3 linked regions of the Tribolium castaneum genome follow. The protein of the gene in region 2 interacts with the protein of the main gene of each other region in a pairwise test. Links are inferred from orthologs where the notes say so. Each region holds a gene or a part of one and is shown on either strand. Other genes may lie near its edges.

Region 1 (4,001 bases), on a different chromosome or scaffold from region 2:
TTGCCAATGGCATTTTGGATGGTGTATGAGTTAGTATCAGTGCCAAGTGGAAATTTGGGGATCTATGACCCCACAGAGATTCACAATAGAGGTCAATTAAAGAAGCATATGAGGGACTGTATGATTTATTTAGGATATTATTTACTGTTCTTTTTTGCGTATCTGTACTGGTGAGTTGTGTCTATTTATATCAAACATTGCGCAACTTGTTTATTTTTAGCATGATTGTGGCTTTGTTGAAAGGTGATCCCCTCAACAGAGACGATCAGTTTGAAGCCGACTTATAGTGTAATAGGTTTATTCAAATAAAACATAAATTATCCTCAAAGCGTTTTATTGAAAGAAAAACAGTTAGGGTTAAACAACTGACAAACGATGGATTTAAATTAAATTATCAAAAGGACATGGTTGTAAAAAAAATATATTACACCTCAGGTTTTACTTAAAGATTTTGCCCTGGTTAAACTTCCTTCCCTTTTTGTCAGTGCCAGTCCATGAGAAGTATTGGGCAACTAATTTTTTAGTCTCTTCTGATTTTGCATCCAATTTCTTCCAATCATACGACTCGTAGTCGATTTGCCAGTCAGGACTCAACTACAAAACTCAATCAAACCAATTTTAAAAACACAGAATCAACGTACAGTGAATGCGAGGTCGTGGCCCCTCCACACCCAAATCCCGGAGATTGAACTGTTATTGTCCTCACCAAAAAGACAAACTGAGGCAAAGGCTTGTTTGCGCATTTTATCCAATCTCTGATACATTCCGGTGATCAAATTGCAGCTCATAAAAATCTTAGTGAGCTCTTCAGGGTACTTATATTCCCCGTACCAAATAGTGTAGTTTTCAGGATCGAACTTCTCCCAGAAATACGGAATTGATTTGGCTTCATCTTCGTTAGAATAAAATCTCTTGAAATCGTCCATATTGAACGTCCCTTTGGGCATGGATTCAAAGGGGTCCTTCGATTTGGGCTCGGCAGCGAGCGCTGCTTCAGCCGCATCCATTTCTTCAACGGGCTCTTTCTCCTTTTTTGGTGTTTCCTTTTTAGGCTGCTGCTGCTGCTTCTTCTCTTTTTTCTCCTCTTTCTTTTTGTTCTTACCTGTTGGTGGAAAAGCAACTAAGCAAGACGAATAAAACCACACTTAACTTACTCTTCTTTTTATTATTTTTCTCCGCAACAATACTGTTAGTATTAGCAGCTTGTAAAATTATTTTTGGGTTAAGGGATTTAACACAGGTTGCAATAAACTGAACAGTACTTAATCCATTATGTGCAGCATATGGACACTAGGATGCAACACATTTATTGCGATAATTGCTTTGAACACCGTCGCATATTTATCAAAATACTAGAAATACTGTTGAAGACAAAAAAAGTCTAGGAATATAAAAAAAGTCCCCGGACTTTTTGCACTTTCCAAACTCGTTAGGTAAACAACTATTACACACTAACGTTAGGAAACAGAAATCGAGTTAGTACCGACGTTTGCTTCCTAGTATTTAACTCTCCATAGTACGGTATACATTATAAACAAGACCATTTACTCATAGAATTTTATGCAGCAAAAGAATTAAATACTGATCATTTGAACCGTTAAAAAAACTTTGGCTTACCTTCACCTCCCTGCGCGCCGGTGAAAGGTTGTGCAACTTTGTCCAAAAATTGCACCTGGCCCAAAACGGCCTTAAACTGAGGTTGGTTGATTAAAGTTGTGAACCATCTGTTAACGTTGACGAATGGTTTTCTAAAGTCGGGATCGAACGCATATTTGTATAAATTTGAAAGATTGCAAGCTACAACAATATCAGCTAAAGTGATACGTTCCCCAACTAGATAAGTACGGGTAAGCAAATGGCTGTCTAGGATTGCCAGAGCAGCCCTCATGTCCTCCTTGGCTCTTGCATATCCCTAGAATCACGAAAACTGGGTCAGTCTAGTGACAAAACTGGGCGAAAATCACTTGTTACAATAATATAACTTAACTGAGCGCCACCGAGACACTCAGTAATGGGTAATTGTCTTAATATACCTCCTTGAGTTACAAATCAACCAACCGGATTGGTTAATTTGCCTTTGAAGGAGGACGCGAGAAAATACGTAATTTACCTCCTCAGTGGCGGCGTTCTTCTTGACAACCCCCAAAATGGGGAACACCCAGGCACAGCCAGCTGGGAGTATCTCCGACTCTCCAAAGCCCACCCATTGCAAAATCTGGGCTTTCTCGTACTCCGACTTGCCTCTCAATTGTTCATTGGCGACGTAGTAAGCAATTGCGTTGCTGTCTTGCAGATACTTGCCATCGTTTGACTCGAAAGCTGGCACCTATACAACTGTCCAGTGTGACTTAACCTCAATTTTGAAGCGCGTCCAGACTCACCTTTCCACTGGGAAATTTCTTTAAGAATTCTTTCGACTTGTTGGTTTCACCGAACACAAAGTTTGGGCTTACTTTAACATTGCTTTTGGAGTACTGGGCAGCGATTAAAGCCTTAGCAGCACGGAAATTGTCGGGATAGGTGTACAGTGTCTGAAAAAATAAACACAAAACTGTCAAAGATAATGCCGGATTTGGGTTATTCAACGGTTTTCTGCCGATGATTGTGTCATAAATGCGAGATATTTGAGGAAATTTCGATAATACTTACTCCTGCAGCCATTGCTCGTCCAATTTCTCACAGAAAAGGACTTGAAGAGTTTGACAGCTGCATAGGGAATTTTGGGCTTGCGGTCTGGTGACGTGTCGGGCTTAGGCCTTTTTTTTTCGATTTTTACAGCCTCGAAATGCCCGCTTTTGTGCAAAAAACAACACTAAATTGCACACATCTTCCAGGAATTATACAAATTATTTTTTTTCTTTAAAAAGGCCCACTAAAAATAACAGAACCGTACTTAGACTTTCTGCCCTAAAGGATTAAATGCCTATTTTCTAGTAGGCTTTATAAGGTACTTTTTATCTTGTATGAAAACCAAGAAAACGCTGATTATAATAATTAATTAAGCTGAAGAACTAAATGCACCTGTCTATCAATTATATACACATTATATACAAAAAAAACGTCTATTCTAATTATAAATTCCGATGATCGCGTGGTATCTTTGTTCCTTGAATAAATAAAAAATACTTGATAATTCCACATAGTAACGTATTTAGGTGCATTGCCGCCTCGGGGTACTTAACTTTGGGCTTTTCTGCCTATGACATAGTCTTTAAAAAAGAAAAAAACATTTATTAGTTAATTCAGAAAAGAAGAAAAAAAATATAAATATTTAAAAATAAACACTTTTTATTAACAGAGAGACATTTTTTGCCATACTTTGGAAAGTTTTAAAAAACTAAAGCCAAAATATAGTACTTTTTACTCTGTTTTTACAGCCTGTTCAATTATCTAAAAAAAATTTGGTGTCGTTTTTTTTGAATTACTAAAAAAATAACACAAAAATTTCTAATTTTTGTTTTTTTTTTTTTACAAGCAAATACCAAAGAAAAAGTAGAACATTCTTCAGGCAATTTTTACAAAAAAATCTAAATCCTTCGTCATTTTTTCCAAGGCGTTCTTGATTACAGAGTTGCAACACTCAACTTTGGGTATTCTTATGAATGCCACATTTGCATTTCGTATTTGTTATAAGTGTTTTTACTTCTGATGACAACGATGTATCATCACGTGATATGATTGAATCTTACATGCAAGAAATCATTTTTGCGAAGAGTGCTTTGGAAAATGTCAAGTCGAATTTTTCTTCTGTGTTTGTTTTATTGAATAAACACTATTATTTTTTTATTTTATTTGTAACTTTGGTTGTGCGATTAATTTATGTTTTTGGTGATTGTTAGATGAACAGAGATTAAGGATATTTTGTATAAAAGTTGCCTGAGCCCGGCCCTGTCCGCTGTTCGCGTTGGCTACCCTGCCCTAACCACGACTCATTACCGATACCAACCTCATAAAATTCAAAACGAAAAGTCATTTCGTTCATGTGATGTGGTCAATGATTA
Region 2 (4,186 bases):
ATTTTTATGAAATTTGCAACACACTATTTAATATCAAAGCCACCTGTTTTGGTGCTAATTTTTTTGTTATTGTAAAGCTGTAACTTATTAACAACTTTACACATTTGAGATATATCTTTATAATACATTCTCCGAGAAGCTAATTCTTTTCTTAATCGTAAAATCCATTATTGTTACTAGTTTTTTTTATCTTACAATTTTTTTTGTTTTTAAAAGAAAAAAAAAATATTTAAGTAGACGTCTTAAAATTTCGGACGATCGCCAATTATTATTTGGTTTAAAAAATCCATTTCCTTAGATTTTAGTAAGTACAAATTGTTATTTTAGTTATTAATTTATTTTAAATATTTGTTTGGTACAAACTGAACGGTATTTAGAAATTCACAACTGTGCTTTTTTTTGTTTAAATTAATAACTAGTTACAGCATTGTTAACGTAAGCGGTAAAAAAAAGGTTTAGAAAACAATAATACAGTTATTTTAGGAATAACGCAACCTGAGACCAAAATTTTCAAAATAATTTTGGTATGTAAAGTTTTTTTCAAAATACACGATTCGGTTTACATTTAATGTAATTTGCAACAAGAGATTTTTTGTGGATTTAAAATGGGAGAGGACATCATTTAAATTGAAATAATTCATTGGGTACATTGCCTTGTAGGCGATAACATTAAATACTGTTGACAAGTGACGTACTACAACTGTTGAATAATTTTTGAAGAGTTTTTTTCTAGTTTCTGGTAGTTTAGAAAATGGAAATCGTAATATGTATAACTTTTTTATTTTTGTAAATTTGCTATCCCGTCCGTTATTGCAAATAAATAAATGTTGTTATTTCTTTCATCGTGAAAAAGACCAATAATTTTTAGTTTGCAATGTCTAACTTTGATATTGTTAGTCTTTAATAATTAAAACCTGTCTGAACCATTCTTTTTTAAGTTATTTTCATATATAAGATTTTTTGTCCCATTTGTCGAGTGTTAACAAAAAGTAAATCAATCATTGCCTTATTTTTCGGTTTTGTAGTTTCAAAAAGTTCAACAGGTTTTTTTACTTTAAAAATAGTTGTTGGAATTAGTGCCTTTTAAATTAACTTTTCATAACGATTTTTATAATTATTATTAATTTTATAACGATTTTTTTATAACGTCCGTCATCAAATTGTATTTCTCTTTCGTCCTCGTATTTTAAATTTTACAAATGCAAACATTTTGTCTGGTACTAAATTCCTATAAAAAAAAATTCACCTCTACTGATAGTACTCATAAAAACTGAAAATAATATCTAAAAATTTGAGCAGTGTCCTGTCTGTTAAAATTTAAAATGGTTAAATAATAATTTTCGAAACTTTGAAATTTTGACACGTAAACTTAACTATCTCTATTCAATGTGTTAACGATAGGTAAATAATTCACAATAATAATAGAACACAAAACAATAAATATCGACTATTCCAGTAAACGTATTAAAGAAAAAAAAATATTTTTTTTGGCGCCACCTAACTTAAACGGTGCAACTTAGTACTAGGTGAGACAACCTTATCGCGCACCCAAAAAATTCGCAATTTCTAATGAATGAAAATCCTAAAATTTTACAATTATAAATTTTTATTTAGTTGGTTAAATAATCGGGCTTTTTTATTTAAACGCAAACCAGACGTGTGATTCATTACAAGATGGTATAATTTGCCAACAAAGGGATCACTTACCAGTAGCCGACCTTTTTGTAGCCCCTTATTTACAGTAATTCCATAAAATTGACAAAAACTGATGCCTGTATTCAAATATCCCACGAAATCTTTTACAATTTTACCCCAATTACAGTTCGCATTGTCAATTACATTTACGACGCCACAAGTAGCAGCTCATAAATAAAAATAATTTTTAAAGTTAAAATGTATAAGTGCGTTTAATTCAAAATCTGATTGGAATTTTTTTCGTTAATTTCGTAAACAATTATCTGAAGTGAATACGCGTAGTTTAGTATAAAATTCAGAATTTGCCCCACCTGGTATAGGGCCACAAGTTGGGTTAAATCGCGTTATTTTGGTACACCTGTAGTAAACTTTATCCTTTTACAAACCCACTTTGTATGTATACAGTTAAAATAAGAAATGGTAATTAACTTGTTAGTTTTCCGTTACCATTTTTATAACGATTAAATAACTAGTGACTCATACCAACATGACAACACTTTGACAATTATTTTAGAAGAGAAGAAACAAAATTTCGGGGAAACCCACCTGGTGCAGGAAAGGGTGTCCAAAACTTCGATGATTAGAAGACCACCTTAAGGCCTGTGCTAGAAACGTCTCCCGTTCGGGAGTTGTGGAACTAATGCTTGAAAAGATTTTGCACAACTTTGGAGTCCATCCGTCGTAGTCTTTCTCCTCAGATTTGACTAGAACATCCACTAAAAGTATTGCTAAATCTGCACCGCTGATTTGCTGCAAATTCGCTAATAATAACACATGCCAGAGATTTGGGTACCAAACACCTGATCGTGTTCGAGAAATAAAAGGGATCCATTGTAGAGCATGTCAAGAGTTTCTTTGTATTTTTTCTGGGCCAAGTACCTGAAACGTTGAGGTTAGGTGTGGAACATTCTGGAATTTTGATTCATGAAAAGGAGCAACTGCCGAAATTACCTAAAATATAAAGTCCTGTACATCTGGTGGGCTTCATAGTAGTTACCATTTTTGACGGAATTTTCTAACTTTTCTAAAACTCGAGAAACACCACGGACACTGGAAGCCGCCATGTTTATTTGGGAAATGTCACGGTCAGCCCCGATGGAGAATTTTCAGTTTTACAGTTTAAACCCTGACATTCTAAATGTACAGTGCGTTTCAACCTTAAAAGAACACTTTCAAACCTTTCTGATCGCTTCCGATTTTCTCTACTAGTGGGCAAACACAATGAGCCTATCGTCGTATTTACCTTAATTCTAATTTAAGAAACGTAGAACTTTATAAATTAATTGTGAATAATTTGGAGAACAATTTAAAACAGAATCTAAAGATGGATTTTACATCTAAAAACGGCTTCATAAAAAATCAGAAAAGATTTTTATAAGAAACTTAAAAAAAGTGCAGAAATGATACTACAAAAAAAATGTGGAAGAATTCTGAATGAAACAAGAGAAGATTTTTAAACTCTAAAAGAAAATTTGAAGCATGCATAAGAAATGTTTTTTTTTTAAATTAGTATTGTCTAGAAAATAATTCTAAAATTCTTACCTAGATCTAGAAAAAATTTAAAATAAATCTTAAGAAAAATTTAATGAAGAATAGAGAAACATTGCTGAAAAATAATTGAGACAAATTTTGAAAAGACGCAGAGAGAAATTTTGAAGAGAATTTCGTGGATGTGAATAAAATGTATGTAGAAGTTTTGAAACAATTTTGAAAAAATATTTAATAGTGTTTTGTACAATAACTAAATGCAACGGTCTGTTTGTCTCTTTCGTTCTTTTTTATTTTTAGCAACCTGTATTTAATTAAATTTAAACTCATTTGCATTTTTCAGAGTGAAATGGAAAGTTTCTGGGCTCAAAATTTGTTGCTGGGATTTAGTTTAAACTTTTTTTTTTTTATTTCTTATTCTTTCAATTTGTGCTTTATTTCACTCAAAAAATTCAAATAAACGATTGCAAATTTTTACCAAGTTTGTTTGAGAAGAAGCAAGTGGCACAGTTGGCAACATTGCCGCCATTATCTGTTTTTAACAGTGACAATGGTTTAGTCAAAAAATGTGGATATTTTAGGTTAATTGGTTAACTTCAATTTCAATGAATAATTAACTTTTGGAATTTTTTCGATGGAATTGAAAGTGAAAACAACTTAATTTTCAGCTCTTCTCAAGGAAAATTATCCGTAGATTTGTGAATCTGAGTTTATTTTTCATCCGCAATTAAGATACATTATTATTATTAATTGTAGCAATTTTATTTTTGTTTTATTAATTTTTTATCGAAGTTAGATAGCTCGAATAAAAACACAAATTGATAGTTTTTTTATAAGAAATCCCAGCGACAAACTTTGAGCCAAAAAAAATCCTCCAAAAACTTACTCCGTGGTCCATTTCACTCCAAAAAGTGGAGATGCGTTGTTCAAAGATTCTATTATCGCTTCACTTTTATAAAAACCACGTCCTAGTGTAAATTCTTTATATTTGGCCTGTGCAAGT
Region 3 (2,986 bases), on a different chromosome or scaffold from region 2:
GAACAATTTAGTTTGGCAAAACCTGACATCACTTTTGCCCCCGAGGTCAAGTACCCCATCGGGGGCTCCGACATGATAACAATCTCGGGAAAAGTGCGCGAAAAGGTTTACGAAATTTTGTACGATGAAGATAACGACCATTTGAGCCTCTCTACCATGATCCTTGATGCTATACTAAAAGTTGATATGCATTTGAGGAACCAACTCGCTGAAAACATTCTCTTAATTGGGGGTAGTGTCATGGCCCCCGGATTTAAAGCAAGACTGAAAGACGAGTTACACAAACAACTGAAATATGAGAGGTACAAGAAATTGAGAATTAAGACGTTCAAGTTTCATAGTCCACCCTGTAAGGAAAATTATGCCGCGTGGTTGGGTGGGGGCATTTATGGGGCAACGGAAGTCTTAGGCATGAAGGCCTTAACACGGGAGAAGTATTTCTTGGAGAATCGCTTACCCGATTGGCCCAATATGAGGGATAATAGGACTCTTTAATTTTTTTGTAATAAATTGTTTGTATTTTGTTTTTTTATTAATCACCTAAAAAACCATAATAAAGCATTTCAACACAAAAACATAAGTTACATAAGTTAATTAAGGGTGTATGGGTGTATTAAATACTCGGAAAAAGCCTTAACGTTGTCCCCGCCCCTGACTTCCTTCTCCAGTAAGGGTAATTTAGTGACGTGGAAGTCCTCATACAAGTCATTAATCTGATCGAGATATTTCTCCTGGATTTTGAACCTTGCTAGACACATTTTGCACGGATTTTCGTCGGGTTTTTTAAATAGCAATTGATTGACGATAATGTTGTGAGTGTCGATTTTGCATTTGGTTAGTTCCTGGACCAGTCGTTCGGTTTCATAAAGCGACAGAAATTCTGCGATGCACACGCAGACAAACGTGGTCTGGTCAGGATTTTTGAACTGCTCATTAACTTGTTTAATGACCGACAGCATTTCCTCCATTTTCGAGGAGAGAGTGTCAGCGTTAAAGTCCTGAATGCCCAAAAGGCCGCTAATTTGTGACACAAGTGGCGAAATCTTCAATTTTAATCGTAGCAACTTCCCTAAACCTTTCTCAACAACTTGAGGGAACGACAGGAGCCGTAAGGTGTGCCCTGTGGGGGCCGTATCGAACACCACGGTCGAGAAATTCATACTTTTGATTAACTTCATAACTTCTGCGTAGCTCATGGCCTCGTCTATGCCCGGGAAGGCGCCTATTATTTCCTGGATGATGCCCTTGCTCATCCTCATTGCTTCAGGCTCCCCGTCGAAGTACTCGTCCGGGAGCTCGTTAAAACCCACGTTCGGGTCTATTTCCATGGCGTACAAATTGTTAAAGCCTTTTACAAGAGTTGGCACTTTTGTGAACTTTTGGTCAAAGGCGTCCGATATATTGTGGGCCGGGTCGGTTGATATGATTAGTACAGACTCGCGGACTTTCGACAGTTGGACTGCTAAGCTACAACTGGAAAGGGGGTTACATATTGAACTCGCCGTGACGTGACAGAACTTGCCTACAAGTGGTTTTGCCCACACCGCCTTTGCCACCGACGAAAATCCATTTTAGGGTCGTCTGGTCGATCACATTCTTTAACGAGGGCTCCAGGGGCTCAAAATCTGACATTGTTGATTCTGTTTTTTGAGTTAACCTCAAACTTGACACCTCGACTCTAGTTTTTTTCTTTTTATCTACGTGGTTGAGGTGGCCACTCTGTATTCCAGTGGCGTTCGTTCATTTCGCGTAATTCAAACAATAACGTTAAATTATCATTTAACAATAATTTTGAACCACCAGTGACGAGTTTAACGAATTTAAAAAAGTGCATTAACTGCTTGCTTCGAGTAGCAGCACATTATTTTAGCATTTTACAGCACTGGTACGTTTTCAATGCCGGTTTTGAGGTTATGTCAATCAAAACAAATCATTTTGTAGCGTAAAAATGCCGGTAAATAACATTTTGTACTCGGAGAAGTACTCCGACGAGCACTACGAGTACCGGCACGTTATTTTACCCGCCGATTTGGCCAAACTCGTGCCCCGGGCCCACCTAATGACCGAAACAGAATGGCGCAATTTGGGGGTACAACAAAGCCCCAATTGGGTACATTACATGTTGCACACTCCTGAGCCACACATTTTACTGTTTAGGCGACCGCTGTCGCAAAGTAACTCAAATGGCTTGTAAGGACTTTGTGCAAATTTGTTAAGTGTGAAATAGGTTTAAGTTTTTTATTATGTAAAAAATAAATAATATGTTTTATCAAAACCCAATTTATTTCACTTGCACGTTTTTACACAAGACAAGACTTAAACAGATTAGTCTTCCACCACTGAGGCAACCTTGTAACCATCCTCTTCTTCCCAACTCGTCTGATTAATTTTTTTGTTGGGCAAAATTTTTTTAGAAAATTTCACGTAACTTGACTTTTTGGACACGCAATAACTGTCTTTCATTTTCACGGTTTTTATTTCCCCGGGTTCAACCAAACGAACTTGCGGCTTTTTTTTCTCTTTAATTTCTTTCGCAACTTTGGGTAAAATTGTCAAAACTTGCTGCCTCTTCATCGCATTTTTCGTCGTACGGCGCATTTGTTGATTACTGGGGTTTGGTTTCACGAACGATTTTATCCTCGAAGTTTTCAAAAACGTTTTACATTTTTCTTTAGGCAGTTGCTTGACTTCTGTATGCAAATCACGCTTATTTTTGCGGCTTATTTTCTCATCACCTCCAGCTCGCGAAGACGCCTCGGATTTCATTTCGCGTTTAATATCATTCCGCTGTTTCATAATCGAAGCCAAATTTTCACTAGACACACTTTTTTTCTCCTGCTTCTTAACATTTTGTGTTTTTCCATTTGGTTTAACAATCTGAACCGTTTTAATTGTAGTTTCTAGTTCCTGAAATGCTTTATTGTTCATACGGATGAGATCAGCCTCGCTTTTAAATTCGTGCATGGACACTTTTTTGCTTCCGTTT

Evidence for each region. The genes of interacting proteins can lie anywhere in the genome.
Region 1: the proteins of Golgi to ER traffic protein 4 homolog (region 2) and eEF1gamma interact in a two-hybrid assay, tested with the Homo sapiens proteins (2 studies listed by BioGRID and IntAct, with this or other methods). The link is inferred for Tribolium castaneum from reciprocal best matches to the Homo sapiens genes GET4 and EEF1G.
Region 3: the proteins of Golgi to ER traffic protein 4 homolog (region 2) and ATPase ASNA1 homolog interact in binary tests that used the Homo sapiens proteins (3 or more experiments, as listed by UniProt). The link is inferred for Tribolium castaneum from reciprocal best matches to the Homo sapiens genes GET4 and GET3.

Annotation. Positions count from the first base shown.
Region 1 is NC_087402.1:7,326,690-7,330,690, forward strand, and holds eEF1gamma (elongation factor 1-gamma), read right to left. Parts: upstream 2,811-4,001; 5' UTR 2,662-2,810; coding exon 2,650-2,661; intron 2,532-2,649; coding exon 2,382-2,531; intron 2,327-2,381; coding exon 2,111-2,326; intron 1,913-2,110; coding exon 1,618-1,912; intron 1,203-1,617; coding exon 1,155-1,202; intron 1,103-1,154; coding exon 642-1,102; intron 595-641; coding exon 439-594; 3' UTR 318-438; downstream 1-317. Other genes in the region: cnir (protein cornichon homolog 4), read left to right, coding at 1-170, 221-287. UniProt on the Homo sapiens protein: Probably plays a role in anchoring the complex to other cellular components.
Region 2 is NC_087399.1:11,237,529-11,241,714, reverse strand, and holds the start of Golgi to ER traffic protein 4 homolog, read right to left. Parts: upstream 2,805-4,186; 5' UTR 2,760-2,804; coding exon 2,647-2,759; exon of another isoform or gene 2,575-2,646; coding exon 2,496-2,574; intron 2,446-2,495; coding exon 2,242-2,445; intron 1-2,241. UniProt on the Homo sapiens protein: As part of a cytosolic protein quality control complex, the BAG6/BAT3 complex, maintains misfolded and hydrophobic patches-containing proteins in a soluble state and participates in their proper delivery to the endoplasmic reticulum or alternatively can promote their sorting to the proteasome where they undergo degradation.
Region 3 is NC_087402.1:8,577,429-8,580,414, forward strand, and holds ATPase ASNA1 homolog, read right to left. Parts: upstream 1,659-2,986; 5' UTR 1,633-1,658; coding exon 1,523-1,632; intron 1,474-1,522; coding exon 591-1,473; 3' UTR 511-590; downstream 1-510. Other genes in the region: Arp10 (actin-related protein 10), read left to right, coding at 1-495; cyclin-dependent kinases regulatory subunit, read left to right, coding at 1,949-2,194; uncharacterized protein LOC103312779, read right to left, coding at 2,326-2,986.